Linked DNA regions of Mus musculus. The protein of the gene in region 1 interacts with the protein of each later gene in a biochemical or structural test. Links are inferred from orthologs where the notes say so. Each region holds a gene or a part of one and is shown in the gene's direction. Other genes may lie near its edges.

What was found. The genes of interacting proteins can lie anywhere in the genome.
Region 2: the proteins of Ube2d3 (region 1) and Trim32 form a complex in vitro, tested with the Homo sapiens proteins (3 studies listed by BioGRID). The link is inferred for Mus musculus from reciprocal best matches to the Homo sapiens genes UBE2D3 and TRIM32.

The regions. Positions count from the first base shown.
Region 1 is NC_000069.6:135,457,586-135,464,766, forward strand, and holds part of Ube2d3 (ubiquitin-conjugating enzyme E2 D3), read left to right. Parts: intron 1-1,212; coding exon 1,213-1,290; intron 1,291-2,389; coding exon 2,390-2,495; intron 2,496-5,364; coding exon 5,365-5,458; intron 5,459-7,181. UniProt on the Homo sapiens protein: Accepts ubiquitin from the E1 complex and catalyzes its covalent attachment to other proteins. In vitro catalyzes 'Lys-11'-, as well as 'Lys-48'-linked polyubiquitination.
Region 2 is NC_000070.6:65,601,254-65,608,958, forward strand, and holds the start of Trim32 (E3 ubiquitin-protein ligase TRIM32), read left to right. Parts: upstream 1-3,732; 5' UTR 3,733-3,816; exon of another isoform or gene 3,817-4,030; intron 4,031-4,062; exon of another isoform or gene 4,063-4,304; intron 4,305-7,705. UniProt on the Homo sapiens protein: E3 ubiquitin ligase that plays a role in various biological processes including neural stem cell differentiation, innate immunity, inflammatory resonse and autophagy.

The DNA.
Region 1 (7,181 bases):
TCTCATGTGGTTAATTTTCTTTAATTTGAAAGGTAGTTGGCAAGAAAAGATTTGGAAATAATAACTTCCACTTTAGTCTGTGGCATTTCAGTATTTGTCAGTATGGACAGAGGATAATCAACTATAAATGAAATCTGAAATAAAACTATGTTTAAAAGAGTTATTGATCCAACTTCACATTTTTATGTCATTTCATACTATCACAGTTAAAATAGCAATGGCCAAAAAGCAGCTAGTTCAAGAAATTTTAAGGTGTAGGGGTGTGTGTGTTTGGAGATGGAACTTCACTTTACCATCTTGCCAAGGCTGGCCTAGAAATTACAACCTTGTACCTCAAGCTGCCTTCAAACTCATAGTAACTCTCTTGCCTCGGCCTTCAAAGTCCTTAGATGGAAGGCATAAGAAGCCACTAAATCTGACATTCTTTGAGTCCTTTAGGACTGTGAATCAAATGAAAATAAAAGAATCATGTATGAGACCTCTATTTTTGTTTTAGGAAGAATGGGGTTGACATAGAAGTTTGAGATTTGAATGCATCTCATCAAGTAGACAAGTATATTTTAGTAGGCTTGAAAATGTGCTCAGAAGTAAATAGACACAGTACAGAAGAAAGTGGAAACTGTAAAATGTGAGGGGTCAGATTAAAAGCAGAGAATAGATCTATAGACACTGTAATGGGCTGTATCTTTTGGTCCTTTATTTCATAGAATGGAAATAGTGTATATTTCTCATTTTAGTTTTTATTAAAACTCATAGAAAGTAGTTTCAAATCTTTATATTAGTTAGCATGGTTGAATATTTATGTGCACATTGTAATGAACAAAGGAGAAAAGGACACTAGTAATTTGAAATTTTGTTTTCTAGCTGTTGACTTTCAAGAGTATGATACATTGTGTTAAGTTTAGAAGAAAAGTTTTCTTGGTTTTATGAAAGAATTTCAAGGTGCCAATTGAAAAGTAAACTCAGATATGTTTTGCCTCTTGAAGGTGCTTTAGTTATTTGAAATAGGTATTCATTCTGTGGGTGTGGGTGTGGGTGTGTGCATGTGATGACATGTGAATAGGACAACACTGAAGTCAGTTCTCCTGCCACCTTTTACATAGGTTTTAAGGACTGAGCTCAGGTTACCAGGCTTGTATGGAAATGGCATTTTAGCCATCTCTTTTTTTAAGGAATTATCTTGACATATTAAGCCTATTTTTCTCTTTACAGAATGACAGCCCATATCAAGGTGGTGTATTCTTTTTGACAATTCATTTTCCTACAGACTACCCCTTCAAACCACCTAAGGCAAGTATTATTGTCCTTCCAAAATCTGTTAGTTTATGGATTGTTTTAGAAGAATAAAATGTTCATGTAAATTTAGGTTTCTGAATAATTGAAGCTTAAGCCCTGTATTCATGGTGAATAAAAATAAGTAATACATAGAGAAATGAGCTGCATTTATGTAGATAACTCCTGTTAAAGACTATTCTGGAACTTTTTTCATCTAAGAGCTTTCATCTTCCAAGAGCTAAGTTTAGCAGTATACCACATACTTTACTCATGCCTAACTTCTAAGATTAGACAAAAGATTTTAACACTGTAATGTAGAAAAGATTTGCCTTTTTGAAGTTGCAAAGCTCAAGTATTTCCATGCTTAAGCTAAGTATTGGAGTCTAGTAAGTAAGCTGTAGAGTCAACTTGCCTTATGTTCTAGTTGCTTTTAATGCACTTAGGTGACTATAGTGTTAAAGGTTAAGTTGCTGGATCTATAACAACACCTTTAATCCTGGTATTCTGTAGGCTAAAGCAGAGTAATGAGTTCAGAGCGTATAGTCCTTGATTTTTTTTTTCTCTCAGAACTATTAGTTCAAATTCATGGTATGTGAATGACTAGAAAATAATGTGTATTAAATTATGGTGTTTTTCTAACCCTCTTTAGTCATGTTAAAAGTACAGTGTAGTAAGAAAGTCAAGTTCCTTTGGGTATAAAGCTTATACTCAGTTTGTTGTGTCAGCAGTGGGAATAGAATTTGAATATATGCCTGTATCCTACATTGAGGGTCCTAAGTTCCCTTTCACAGATTGCCTGCCTTCTGATAGTTAAGCTATACTACTAGAGTTAACCTTCAAAGCGAAGTTAATTACTTTTTCCGTGCTGAGGCTGATGTTAACTTTTTAAAACTAGCTTTTATTACCTAAAATTGATTTTGTTGAAATTTCCCATATATAAATATTTCCTTATATGGTTATGCGTGCTTTGATCACATTTTCCTGTCTCCTTATATTCTCTCATTACTATGATCACTGGTGAGACTTAGTATTTTAAGCCTTGCTTTTTAAAGTATACTTATTTTCATTTGCAAAAGCCATCTAAAGGTTGTGTCATGTGATTTGTTTTTTTTAGGTTGCATTTACAACAAGAATTTATCATCCAAATATTAACAGTAATGGCAGCATTTGTCTTGATATTCTAAGATCACAGTGGTCTCCTGCTTTAACTATTTCTAAAGGTAAAATGATAATTTCAATATAATAGTTTTCAGCTACTGTGACTTTATTATGCCAACATTTTAATTAAAAGTTGCTTGCGGGCTGGTGAGATGGCTCAGGGGGTAAGCACCCGACTGCTCTTCCAAAGGTCCGAAGTTCAAATCCCAGCAACCACATGGTGGCTCACAACCACCTGTAACAGAGATCTGATGCCCTCTTCTGGTGCGTCTGACTACAGCTACAGTGTACTTACATATAATAAATAAATAAATCTTTTAAAAAAAAAAAGTTGCTTGCAAGATTGGGGATGTATCTCAGTATAACATGCTTGCCTAGCATGCACAAAGCTCACTGTTCAATCTTCTCCCACTCACCCCCCACCCCACCCCCAGTGTTCTATAAATCAGGTGTGGCACATGCCTAAACAATGGCACTTTTGGGAATAGGGGCGGGAGGATCTGAAGTCAAGATCGTCCTTGGTTAATCTGAGTGAGTCTGAGGCTAGACTGAGATCTTTTAAAAAGGAAAAAAAAGTTAGTGGGTTTGGGTGTTTTGGGTTGATACTTCATCAGGGAAAATAAATTTTAAAGGGATTTTTGTCTAAAGTTAAAAATATGTTGGTAGGGCATTTTCCTAGTGAGTTTTTTTTTCACATAATGGCAGTTTATTTTTAGTGTAATATATCAGAAGCCAGAGGTATCTTCCTCTTGTATACTTTTATTTCACTTGGCTAGGTTCTGTCATTAAACTCCTCTTGTATACTTTTATTTCACTTGGCTAGGTTCTGTCATTAAACCAGAAGTTCTTAGTAACTCTCAGTGTCTGCCTGACTTTACCACCAATGCTAGGGTTCAAGCACGCACAGCTTTTCATGGGCGGCGGGGATTTGAACTCAGGTCTTTTTGTTTAGCCTGAGCTCTTACCTACTGAACTATTGCTTCAGCCTCCAAATTAATTTTAATAAACTTATTTTGGTGCTAAACTGTTTGTGGGTGGTAATGTGCGCGTGAATGCAGATGTTTTGGAGTCCAGAAGAGAATGCTAGATCACCAGGAGCTGTAGTTAAAGGACAGTTGTGAGGGGGCACCAAGAGTGGGAGTTGGGAAACTAAAACTGTCCTCTATACAAATAGTATGTGCCTATAACTGTTGGGCCATCTTTTTGGTGAGAATAGGAAAATATAGCCAGGCATGGTTTACAGCATTTACAGCTTTCTACTCTAATAAGCATCTGTGTAGATTTTCTGTATCTGATTTTGAACCTGTCTTTAGTTGGGTATTACTTAACTATGATAATCATTCTGTGTCTAATAAAATGTGGAATACTTAGGGAATTTGGGGAAAGATTGTTACGTAAAGACTGATCTTGTACTGTTAAGTCTAACACATTCTAGATCTCCAGGTATACCCCAGATGGAAAGTTCCTCCTGTCCTCTTTTGGATTCTGAATGACAAGTCTTTTTTTGACATTCTACTCTGCAAATTCAATTGTACGCAAAACATTTTAAGGATGAGATTGCCTTTTAGTAATTTATAGGCTTGGGTAATTAATGTTTTTATATTAGTCATGTTTTTAATGCTAGTAATTATAATCTTAGGGGTATTTGTGTTAACTATTATTTTCAGGCTCAATCCTGAAGTGTAACATTTTTAAAACTTGGAATAATTGTTAGCTTTTTACCAAAATGTTTTATGAGTTTGGTAAATACAGAGTGAAACAAGTATGTTCTGTTTACAGGCACGGCACCACACCACACTACACCACACAGGCATTTCTCCGTATGCTTGTTAAAATGTTTTTGAATCTTTACATGGATTTGGCTGCATTTTCCAATTACTCTTTTAAGAGCTTACAGTCTTGGGACTAATTTTTTAACCTCTTTGGATTTTTTTTTTTTTTTAATTCTCTTTTCATATGCTTCATAATCTAAATGCCAGGTTTCTGGGTTTTTTTGTTTTTTTCTCATTCCCTGCTGGAATGTACTTTTTGTTTGTTTGTTTTTCGAGACAGTGTTTCTCTGTGTAGCCCTGGCTGTCCTGGAACTCACTCTGTAGACCAGGCTGGCCTCAAACTCAGAAGTCCTCTGCCTCCCAAGTGCTGGGATTAAAGGCGTGTACCACCAATGCCTGGCATGATATACTCTTAATTCTGAATTGTATTTTTTACAAATGCAGACTGAATTGATGGGGATTTTGTTTTGTTCTTAAAATTAACTTGATTTTTTTGACAGATTTAAAAGCTTGCAAGTCAGATTTAGAAACACTGACCTGAGTTGTTATTATATTCTCCAATTTTACTTAGTCCCCTCATTTGAATTTGACACTGTGTTTGCAGCTTTGATAGTTACTTTGACTTTATGCTGTTTAACGATGTCATTTGCACAGTCTCTAGGGACAGTGGTTTTCACTTCTGATTCCAGGAAATAAAGCAGCTCTTGTAGTTTTTGTGAGAAACCTTTCCTAAGGTAGAACAAAGAATGAGCCTCTGGGTTTTCTTGTTTTTTCTATTTTTCCCCCCTTACTTGGTTTTGGTGGGGTTTTTTTGCCAAGCCTTGACTCTATTATACTACTAAGAGTTTTGTATCTCCTGAAAGTACCAAGAAAATCCTTAAATTCTGATGCCTCTCTTACATAGCCCCCCCCCCCTTTTTTTAAAGAACCAAACTAGTAGGATGTCGTGTGACGACCACCTTGCATGTGGCCTAATCATTACTGACTTTGGTGCCATCAGAGCTTTCATTTCTAATACTGTTAATTATAGAAACTTATTTTCTGTAGAACTCTGTGGAGATATTATAGAATAATAAAATTATGATGAGGTCTAGAGTACATTTTTAAATTTTATCATTTGCTTGTCCAGACACCTGAAATTGGATTTTTTTCCTTTTAGTTCTTTTATCCATTTGTTCACTGCTATGTGATCCAAACCCAGACGACCCCCTAGTGCCAGAGATTGCACGGATCTATAAAACAGACAGAGATAAGTAAGTATGCAATTGTTTAATGAATGACTATAAACAGTTTTATTTAGTGAGTTGAGCTTATTTCTGCTGAAATTTGTGACAGTACCTTTTTATGTTTGTTTCTCATAAGCTAGTTACTAAAACATAATTAAAAGCAGTAAGGACCAGCATAATGGCTTAGGCTGCAGCATTAGAAGTTTGAAGGTAGTCTAGGCTGCCTAGTGAGACCCTGCCAAATAAATATATGCTCATAGCATACATGACAGTGAGTAGCTCCCTTGAGATGTTTGTTTTCTAATGTGTTAAAGCCTTGCTTAATTATTCAGTTTGGGGAAATAAACCTGAGTTTGTTTTCCAAACATAAAGAAAAAAGACTAGTGTAAAATTTTTGGTCTAGAGCTGGAGAGATGATTCAGCGGTTAAGGGCACTGGCTGCTCTTCCAGAGGTCCTTCGTTCAATTCCCAGTAACCCCATGCTAGCTTACAACCATCTGTAATGGGATCTGATGCCTTCTTCTAGTGAATCTGAAGACAGCTACAGTGCACTACATATATATATATATATACTTTATATATATATAAAATAAACCTTTAAATTTTGGTCTAAATTTATCAACTATTTGATTTATCTTTATGTTCAGCTTAACCATTTAACTTTCATATGTTATAATTAATGCTAAGTGTGCTTATTCAATTAGGTACAATAGGTTAGCAAGAGAGTGGACAGAGAAATACGCTATGTTGTAGGGTAAGAGGATCTGTACTCTATGGTGCGCTTATTTATGGTACTGCCAGCAGTTGAGTGCTGCATGCTTTAAAGCACTGTATTAACTAACCAAAGATAACAGATATGGCAGTTTTCTGAAAACTACTTAACTGCTTGATCTCTGTTTTTTGAAAGTTATACTCTGTCTTCACTACTGCTTGGGATTCTTGCATGGCAAAGCAGTTATATAGCTTTAGTAAGAAGAAGTGTAAGAGTATCTTTATCCTTCATTAAGTTACCATGATGTTGAAATGTAAACATTTTGTGTCAGTACTATATGGAATGTGGTGGTTTTACTCGGGGGTTTTTACCAGGAAGATAGTAATAGAAATATAAAGGGAAGCACTTAAACCTCACAAACTTAAATGTTCATTACTGACTGACAAGCATGCATTAATGCTAGCTATATTTTGTGGCTCTTTTTATGCTAAACCAAAACACGTTTGTTTTAAAATGCTGGCTGTTTGAAGAGGGTTTTCTAAATGCCGTAATTCTGAATTGGTAGAGAGTTTTTTATATGTTGAGCTGTTTCAAATAGTTGAAGTCCATTACTTGGTTTGAGATGAAACTTAGTGGTATTATTTCTTCTAAAGGTTTTCCCCTGTTCTTTATTATGTACTCATTTCTTAAGGTATTGTCACTTTTTTTGGTTGGGGTAAGTTAGCCTGTATGATAGCGCACTATAATGAAGTGGGGGGGATGGAATGGTGTTTGTCAGTACTGGGTCTTCCTCAGTAGTCACCTGGGTCGCGGATGAGTTATCTATTGATCTTTTTTAACAAAAATGGGGTGTGCTCCTAGAGACTTCCTATTTTCAGCAGGTCTCAGTGAGGATTAGCAGCAATCACTGCTACTAAACTTTCATTTAAAAATTAATGCTTTTTTATCATTCTTTCTAATGTATTCTGCCTAGGTTTCAAAGGCATTTTTTCTCAATACCCAACAAACTTCTCAATCTCTAGGTTTCAGATTGAATTT
Region 2 (7,705 bases), on another chromosome or scaffold:
GTGACTCAACCTTCCTAAAGCTGTGACCCCTTAGTACAGTTCTTGCTATTGTGGTAACCTCCAACGATAAAATTATTTTTGTTGTTATTTCATACATCAAAATGTTGCTGCTGCTGTGAATCATAATATAAACATTTTTGGATGTAGATGTTTGCCACAAAGTCTCAACTCACAGACTGAGAACCTGTGTTTTAAAACATTTCTGTGTCAGAAGACTGCTAACATTGTTCCAGTGTGTTCAAAGCTGCAAGACAGAAGTGAATCTAGTCGCCCAAGTGTTTATTTTACTCCTAGATTTTGTGTGAACTGTGGCAATAAATTCAACTGATGAAAAATTAAAATATTTTTAAAAAGAAAGGAACATTCAGATAAACACTATTTTCAGGAGAATAGAGAAGAACAATAATTATAAAGTCATGGCTGAGCCTTATCTTCAAAAGTTCAAAGTTTCAGGAGGGCCACTAGCTTTTTGTCAGAAAGAAATATTGAGTTATATGCATTCATAAATATATAGGAATATACATATTCATGATATATGCATATGACTAGCTATACATACATATATGCATATTACTTGCATATATGTATACACACATATACACACATGCACACTGGCAGTGCTGAAGTGAGACTGTAGGCTGTTAATTGTAGTGTTTAGAAAACAGAATTCTATTTCTTACCCTCTGGCAGTAGAAGTGAATTTAAGTCAGAAACCATTTGACAGCAGCTCTCTCAGAGTCTCCACCTACAGCATAGTGAGTCGAAGACCCTATGACCCTATCCTGAAGGCTTCCCTATTTTCTAGAAGAAGAAGCTACAGCAAGCCTGACGTGACAGAAAGCCAATACGAAGGGTATTCAGTATTCACATTGCTAAAATGTCAACATTGGGTGTTCATGCTAAGCTCACAAGGCTTTCTCAGTTCCATTAAGTTAGCAAGCCATCTCTCTTCATCCATTCCCTCAAATAACCTGAAGGTGGTGAGGCTGCAGCTGTGTGTGGTGTTCTCCCCTGGTGACGTTGCTCTGAACTGCTCAAGGAAGAGTAAAACAATCACCAGGAGATCATAACCATGTCTGTCACACATTCCTTTACTTAACGTTATAATCTCTCATCTGTTTTGAATATTCTGAATAATAATTCTTAACAAATAGAAAGAAAGCTCCTCTCATAAAATGTGGGTTGCTTGTGGAGGGTGGTTTTGACTCTAGCTCTGTGCTTCCGGGAGGTAACTGTAACATGCGATTTGGTTTCTTTATCCACCTACAGCATTATTGAAAGGGTCAGATATGGTGTGTAAGTGTCTATGAAGTACTAAAAAAATACCCAACCCTTACTTGACTTATCCCACTGTATCCTTTTGCAGCTACACTAATCTTAAGTCAGACAATTAAGAATAAATTAAACCCATTGGCATAATGACACAGGTTTGCCATGCTCACATTTAGGAGAATGGGTAAGGAGAATGGACAGTTTACAGGCAGAGGGGACCACTGTCCTAATTTGCTCTCTACTGATGTGATGATGACCTTGGTCAAAAGCAACCTGGAGAGGACAGGGTTTGTTTGGTTTCTACATTCTGTTGCCAGTGCATCGTTAAGGGAAGACAGGGAAGAGACTCAGGAAGACCAGAAACCCGGAGGCAGGAACTAAAGCAGAGATAAAGCAGGAGTGCTGCTTCCTAACTTGCTCCCCAGGCTTATTATCAGGTACCTCTCTTCTATCTCCCAGCACCATCTGCCTAGGGATGCTACTCCCCATGTTAACTATCAGTCAAGAAAATGCCCCACAGACCTGTCTACAAGCTAAGCTGATGAAGGTGTTTGTTTTACTCAGGTGAGGTTCCTGGATGTGCCTAGATTTGTGTGAAGTTGAGCCCCCCCAAAAAAACAAACAACAACAACAACAAAAAACAAACAAACATAAAACCAACAACAACAACAAAATCTTACCAGCACAACTATATAGTGGGGGTACAGGACAACCTAGGTTATACACCAAAATGCTGTCTCAAATAAACCAAACAGGAACAAAGTCCTAGTTAGTTTTTAATGCAACCTGTTACGAAGTGAGTTCCACAGTCCTGAGCCCCTGAATTTCAGATGTCAGAAAGGGAGAGAGAGTGAAATGCTGTACTTTTCTTCTTTTTTGCTCCTAAAGAAATTCGGAATCAAATATGACTAACCATGGCCTGTATACAGATTCTCATCTATCCCAAATAACACACTCTACTGTGGAAAAGGCCTATGGATATTTATATTCACAGAACAAAAAACTCCTAAGTCTTAACTTAAATGCATTGTGGGGGATATCAGGTAGATGGGCTACAGCAAGATAGGGAAAGTTCTTTTATCTTTTCCGGATGTTATAACATTCTTAGTGGAAGCTCATAGTCTTCTAACTTTAACTATACATTCCAATGGTTTACCTTATAGTCAGAAGATTGTTAGGCCAGAGTCATAGGTTGTTAATAAATGGCCATTAAGAGAACTAAAGCTAGCCCAAGATAAATTGACTATGTGTCTACAATATGTTTTATCCTTTCCCAGTTCTAGGTATTTGGTCAGTCCATAGAATTGCCAGCACAGATATAATTTCTTCAAGGAACTTTGAGTCACATATTCTCTGGGAAAGCCTTGGGAGTTCTGGGTGCCTGGGTTGGCTCAGGGCTCTAGAATTATCTGAGATATCAAATTGTACTCAGAATGTATAATCAGGAAATCCGGCCAGGGATAAAATCATGTGAGAACTCCTGAATCACTGAGAAGAGAAACAAGTTGGAGAATGAATAGCCTGGTTCAGAGTTCCATCAAAATCGATGCCAGGTGTATACCGAACCTTGGACAAGATGTGTGGGACAGGGGCGGGAGTGAGGTGGGGGAAGGGGATAAATTTACTTTTCCCACCTTTCTGAGTTATTAGTAACTCATCAAAACAATCCTTAACTTTATTTTGAGATAAAGAAGTAGAAAAATGAAGTTAAGAGTGATTCTGGGAAATTAAAGCCAGGTTCTGACAGGTAGAAACTGGTTACTTTGCCTTTTAACCCCTAGGTCTCAGCTTCTTTTCAAAGTCTGTAGTCTGTCGGAAAGTGTCTAAAGGTATTACTGTTTTTGTTTTGTTGTCTTATCATTGTGCAGAGGGTACACAGCTAGGTGGAATTTCAAATATGAGAGCATAATATTTCAGATTCCTTCATATTCCTCACTAGTACTGTGTGTTTATCGCATTCAGGAGCAGGTATTACCTGTCCACAAACTACCTTCAGGACCAGGAGGTCCTGGCCACAAAACCTCCCGTCTGACAAGGCTCAATGCAGGCTTTTCCCTGTTTCTCCCTCTGCTATCCGCCTCTGCGCTGTTTGGCAAAGAAAACGTCTTTCCTAAGGGGCATGTGTTCAGTGACTCCACTTTGGGATGTGTCACAGGCAGAAACACCTAGCCCGGGGACCTGCAGCTCTTTGAAGGGAGTGTGCTTGTCTTCTTCAAAGAGGCGTCTGTCTGCAAAGTGCCCGAACTTTCTGGAGACTACTACTGGGGGATTAGCATTGACTAACCATGTTTAGACTCTGAAACGGGGCAGAAAGCTGCAATGGCCTAGGTTTCCGGAGCCATCCCTATCTATTCAGCTGGGCCGCGGGCGCTGAGCCCACAGACCTACAAGCCCCAGCATGCCTCGGGAGGCGGGGCAAGTTGACGGGCAGGCGACTGTACGAATTGGCGACTGCCATGGGAAGGACGTGCTAGCGCATGCGCAGAAGGCAGCGGGCGGGTGGGCTGGCAGCGGTGGACTCGCGTCGGAGCTGCGGGCGGTCAGGTAGGGGGCGGGAAGGAGGGTCTGCGACCAGGGACTGTGGTGGGTCGCGGGGATCCAAGATTGAATGGCAGGATTTGGGGACTGGATCGGAGTGGCAGGATCGGATTCGGAAGGGACGGGCTCAGGAGCGATTCGGCGGAGATGAGATGCAGCTGGGGGAGGGGAGCAAAGGGGCTGAGGAAATTTGCAGTTGCAGCATGTCGGGAGGTATGAGGTAATGTGGGGGCCATGCGGAGAGACGGGGTGCAGCATGTGGGAGATGGGAGGATCTGACGTCCCTGGAGGTATCTGGGTGCAGAATATCAGAAAGCATAAAGGAATTTGGCAGGCCTGGATGAGGTTGGGTGTTGGCGGGCAGAATCTTAGGGGCTTTGAGGAGATCGGTGTAATGATAGCAAGATCTGAGATCAAAACAGCCAAGGTCTTGGAAGATCCTAATTGCTGAAGAGAAAGGGATTTCTGTAGCGGAATCTGGGAAAGACTGAGGGGTGAGTTCCCGAGGGAATCAGTACCCAGTTAGAAAATCGCAGCAAAGGTTTGAAGGCAACACGTGAGGCAGGACGGGGGCGGAGGTGGGGGGCGGGGGTTGGAGGTGGCCCAGTACAAGATGGGGATGATGGGCAGATGAGCGATCAGATTGAAGGAGGGCAGAAATCTGAGGTACAGGATTGGAGTTTGGAGATGGCATACAGGGGTGATAGATGTGGGAATTTGAAAATAGATTAAAGGATGTATTGGAGGGATGAGGGACACATAAGAGCTATTGGTGAATTGCAAGGCTGCAGCATACAGTCTAAAAGGTTGAATGATAGATTTGGGATTTAGCGTTGAGAATGAGGTTTGTGGAGAATGAATGGTGGGGAGTGAATGCTGTAACTAGATTATAGAATTCAAAACCAAATGAAATTTGTGAGTAGGTTCTTAGGAGGTTTTTGTTTGTTTTTGTTTTTGTTTTGGTCTTGGCATAACTGAACCCAGAGGGTCTTCTGGAGACCCAGGGACCTGAAAGTAATTTATAAATAAACTATGTATAAATGAATGGAATTTAGGAGAATGTAAGGGTTTGGGAATAAAGACACCAGTCTTCAGAAATCCTGAAGGAGAGTTTGACATTCTTTGAAGGGCAGATTCTTCCTCACTTACTAACTAAAGGCCCTTTAATCCTGAGGCAGGCATGTATTCTGACTATACCCACTCTGACCACCCCCACCTCCTCATCACAGACCCGATATTATAGGCCTTGGGGAAGAAGCAGTGAACTACCTAAGGGCTTCTGCTACCTAGCCTTTTCCCTGTCCAAGGTATGAGCCAAAATGATCTTCAACCTAATATTATCTTATAGGAGGTCCATTATAGCTCACAGAGACAATGGTTCTGGGTGAGAAACAAAACAAGGTTGGAACAAGGCGGAGCCTCCTGTCTACTGAGTATTTAGCCTGTGCCATTACCTAAAGCCAGGGTTCTCAGACAGGGTGCTTTTGTTCTGCCAGGAAACATTTGACCGTGTCTGGATGGAGGCATTGTCAGTTGTCATAGTTGAGGGGTTGTGTGTGTGTGGGGGGGGGGATACTTGGGGGGGGGGATACTGGTTTCTAGTGAACAACCCCTACAATAAACTATCATTTAGCTAGAAATGGCAGTCATGCCAAAATGGGTCCTGGCATCAGAGTCAAGAATGCTCTGGTTAGATCCTGGCATTATTTATTTATTTATTTGTTTATTTATTTATTTATTTATTTTTCTCTTTCTGCTTTGTAACCTTTAAAGAGTCAATTGACCTCTCAGTGCACAAGCTCTTCAGGGACCTACGTCATAGAATGGCTGTGAGGACTCAGTGTACTAAATCAGGGTGCTTACTGTTTGGTGCCCAGTAAAAGTGCTCAGAATTTACTACTTTTGAAAATATGTGTGCTTTCTTCTCATGATATTCCTTCTAAATATACATTCACTGTTCAGTGTTACCCACGAAACTAAGGCTTAGGAGGTCACTTGTCTAAAGCCACATTCCTGCCATGTAGCTCCCCGCCACATCCTCTCTTCCATTGCTGGTTTGCTGCGGTCGGCTTGGTCTTCCCTTTGCAGCCTCTCCTAAGGAAAGGGAGGCTTGCCCCGTAGTCAGAAGCTGGGTGACTTCTCTTGATTAAGAGAAGCCCTGGACTTTGTTCTTGCTTTGCTCTTAGACCAGAGCCAATGGGGAGATAGTGCAAGGAGCTTGGAGCTACACGGCTGAGATAAGGAGGGCTCAGGCTCAAGGGCAGTGCTAGACGGAAGGAAACTGCTCTGAATGTTCTCCTTTGTGCATCTTGTCTCTGGCACAGAAGGGCAGCATTGTCTTTATCAACTCCAATCCTAGCTACGCTACAGAAGGCAGTTTAGAGAACAAAATTAGACTGGAGCTGAGGGCAGAACACTTAGCTGCGATGACATCAACTCAGATCGCTTAGGAAAACACCTGACGGAGGTTGAGTTGGCCGTGGAATCGGCTGTTTTACTGCTTGCTTGGTGGTCAAGCACTTGCCAGCCTCTGTCTGAAAACACAGCGAGCTCGGCTGAGTGCTGATTAATGTGCATTCTCTCCATAAGGCCCACAATCTAAATGTTACTCCTGATTCTACAAGGCAGAAAGTGAAGAGCCACTTGTTAAATGACATATCCTGGGTTACAGAGCAAGTGGCTAATTTGGGCATATAAATCAGAAGTCACATGCTGGCAAGCCTCCTAGAGTGCACCCTCCTGTATGCAGATGGTGTTACCTTTGGGAGACTTCTTCCATTGTGCCTTTCTGATAGAAAGGTATGTTTTAAAAGTCATTCCTGGATGAATTTACCAACCTCTAAGCCAACTCTTACCTGCAGGTAAAAGTAGTCTTTTGGTCTGTGTTTTCGAGACAGGGTTTCTCTGTGTAGCCCTGGCTGCCCTGGACTCAATTCTTAGACCAGGCTGCCCTAGAACTCAGAAATCCACCTGCCTCTGCCTCCCAAGTGCTGGGATTCAAGGCGTGAGCCACCACTGCCCGGCACAGTAGTCTCCGCTTCTATAAAAGTACATGTTTTGGGTGAGCCCTTTTGTGGCCCAGTTCACAGATGAGCAACTGGGGGACAACTCTACTACATACCACGGTGGGAGAACATGAACAGGTTACTTGTTTCTTAATGATGTTTAGGATGTGGACTAACACTTCCTTCACACAGTTAAGAGAAGACATGCAGTGTGTAGAGGGTTCCTGGCACTCGTTACTCCAGATGGCCATTAGAAGACATGGTTTTAGCTATCAGCAGGCACCATAAGTGCCCTCAATCTGAAGTTCACACTTGTCTCCCCAGCCAGAACTAGGGTGAATAGTCAGTCTGTTAGTGAGTGGCCTTTGTGGCACCGAGTCAGGTTCACACTTGGTTCGAATTGAGTTAAAGTGCATAAGGAGTAAATGCAGCTTGAGTGCTGGCCTGAATAGGGGTGATAAGTCTCAACAACATCAAAACCCTACAGGCCATGTGAGAAGCAGAGTAATTGTAGAATGGTTCTTCATGTCAAGTTTTTAGATGATTTTTTTTTTCACATCTCTTTCTAAACGTTGTCTCCATCTCCATCCATCGTGGCAGGACTACACTAGTGGTAATTGCTTAGGAAAGATCTGCTTCGTTAATTGCTTAAGGTTCGACAGGTTTGCTTATGGCCTAACCCCCCCCCCCCCCAAGAAACAAAGAGGGGCGTGGGAAAGCTTGAGGTCAAATAGCAATCTTCCAGAAGGCCCTGAGTTTAGATTATTTCAATGTATGGCTGCTGCCTTAGGCATCTGCCTTCCGACAGGAGCCTGTTCATTTCATATCACAGGCTGGCCAATGGCTATGGCAAGCAGTAGCAATTGTAGTCACTGTTCCTGATAATTATA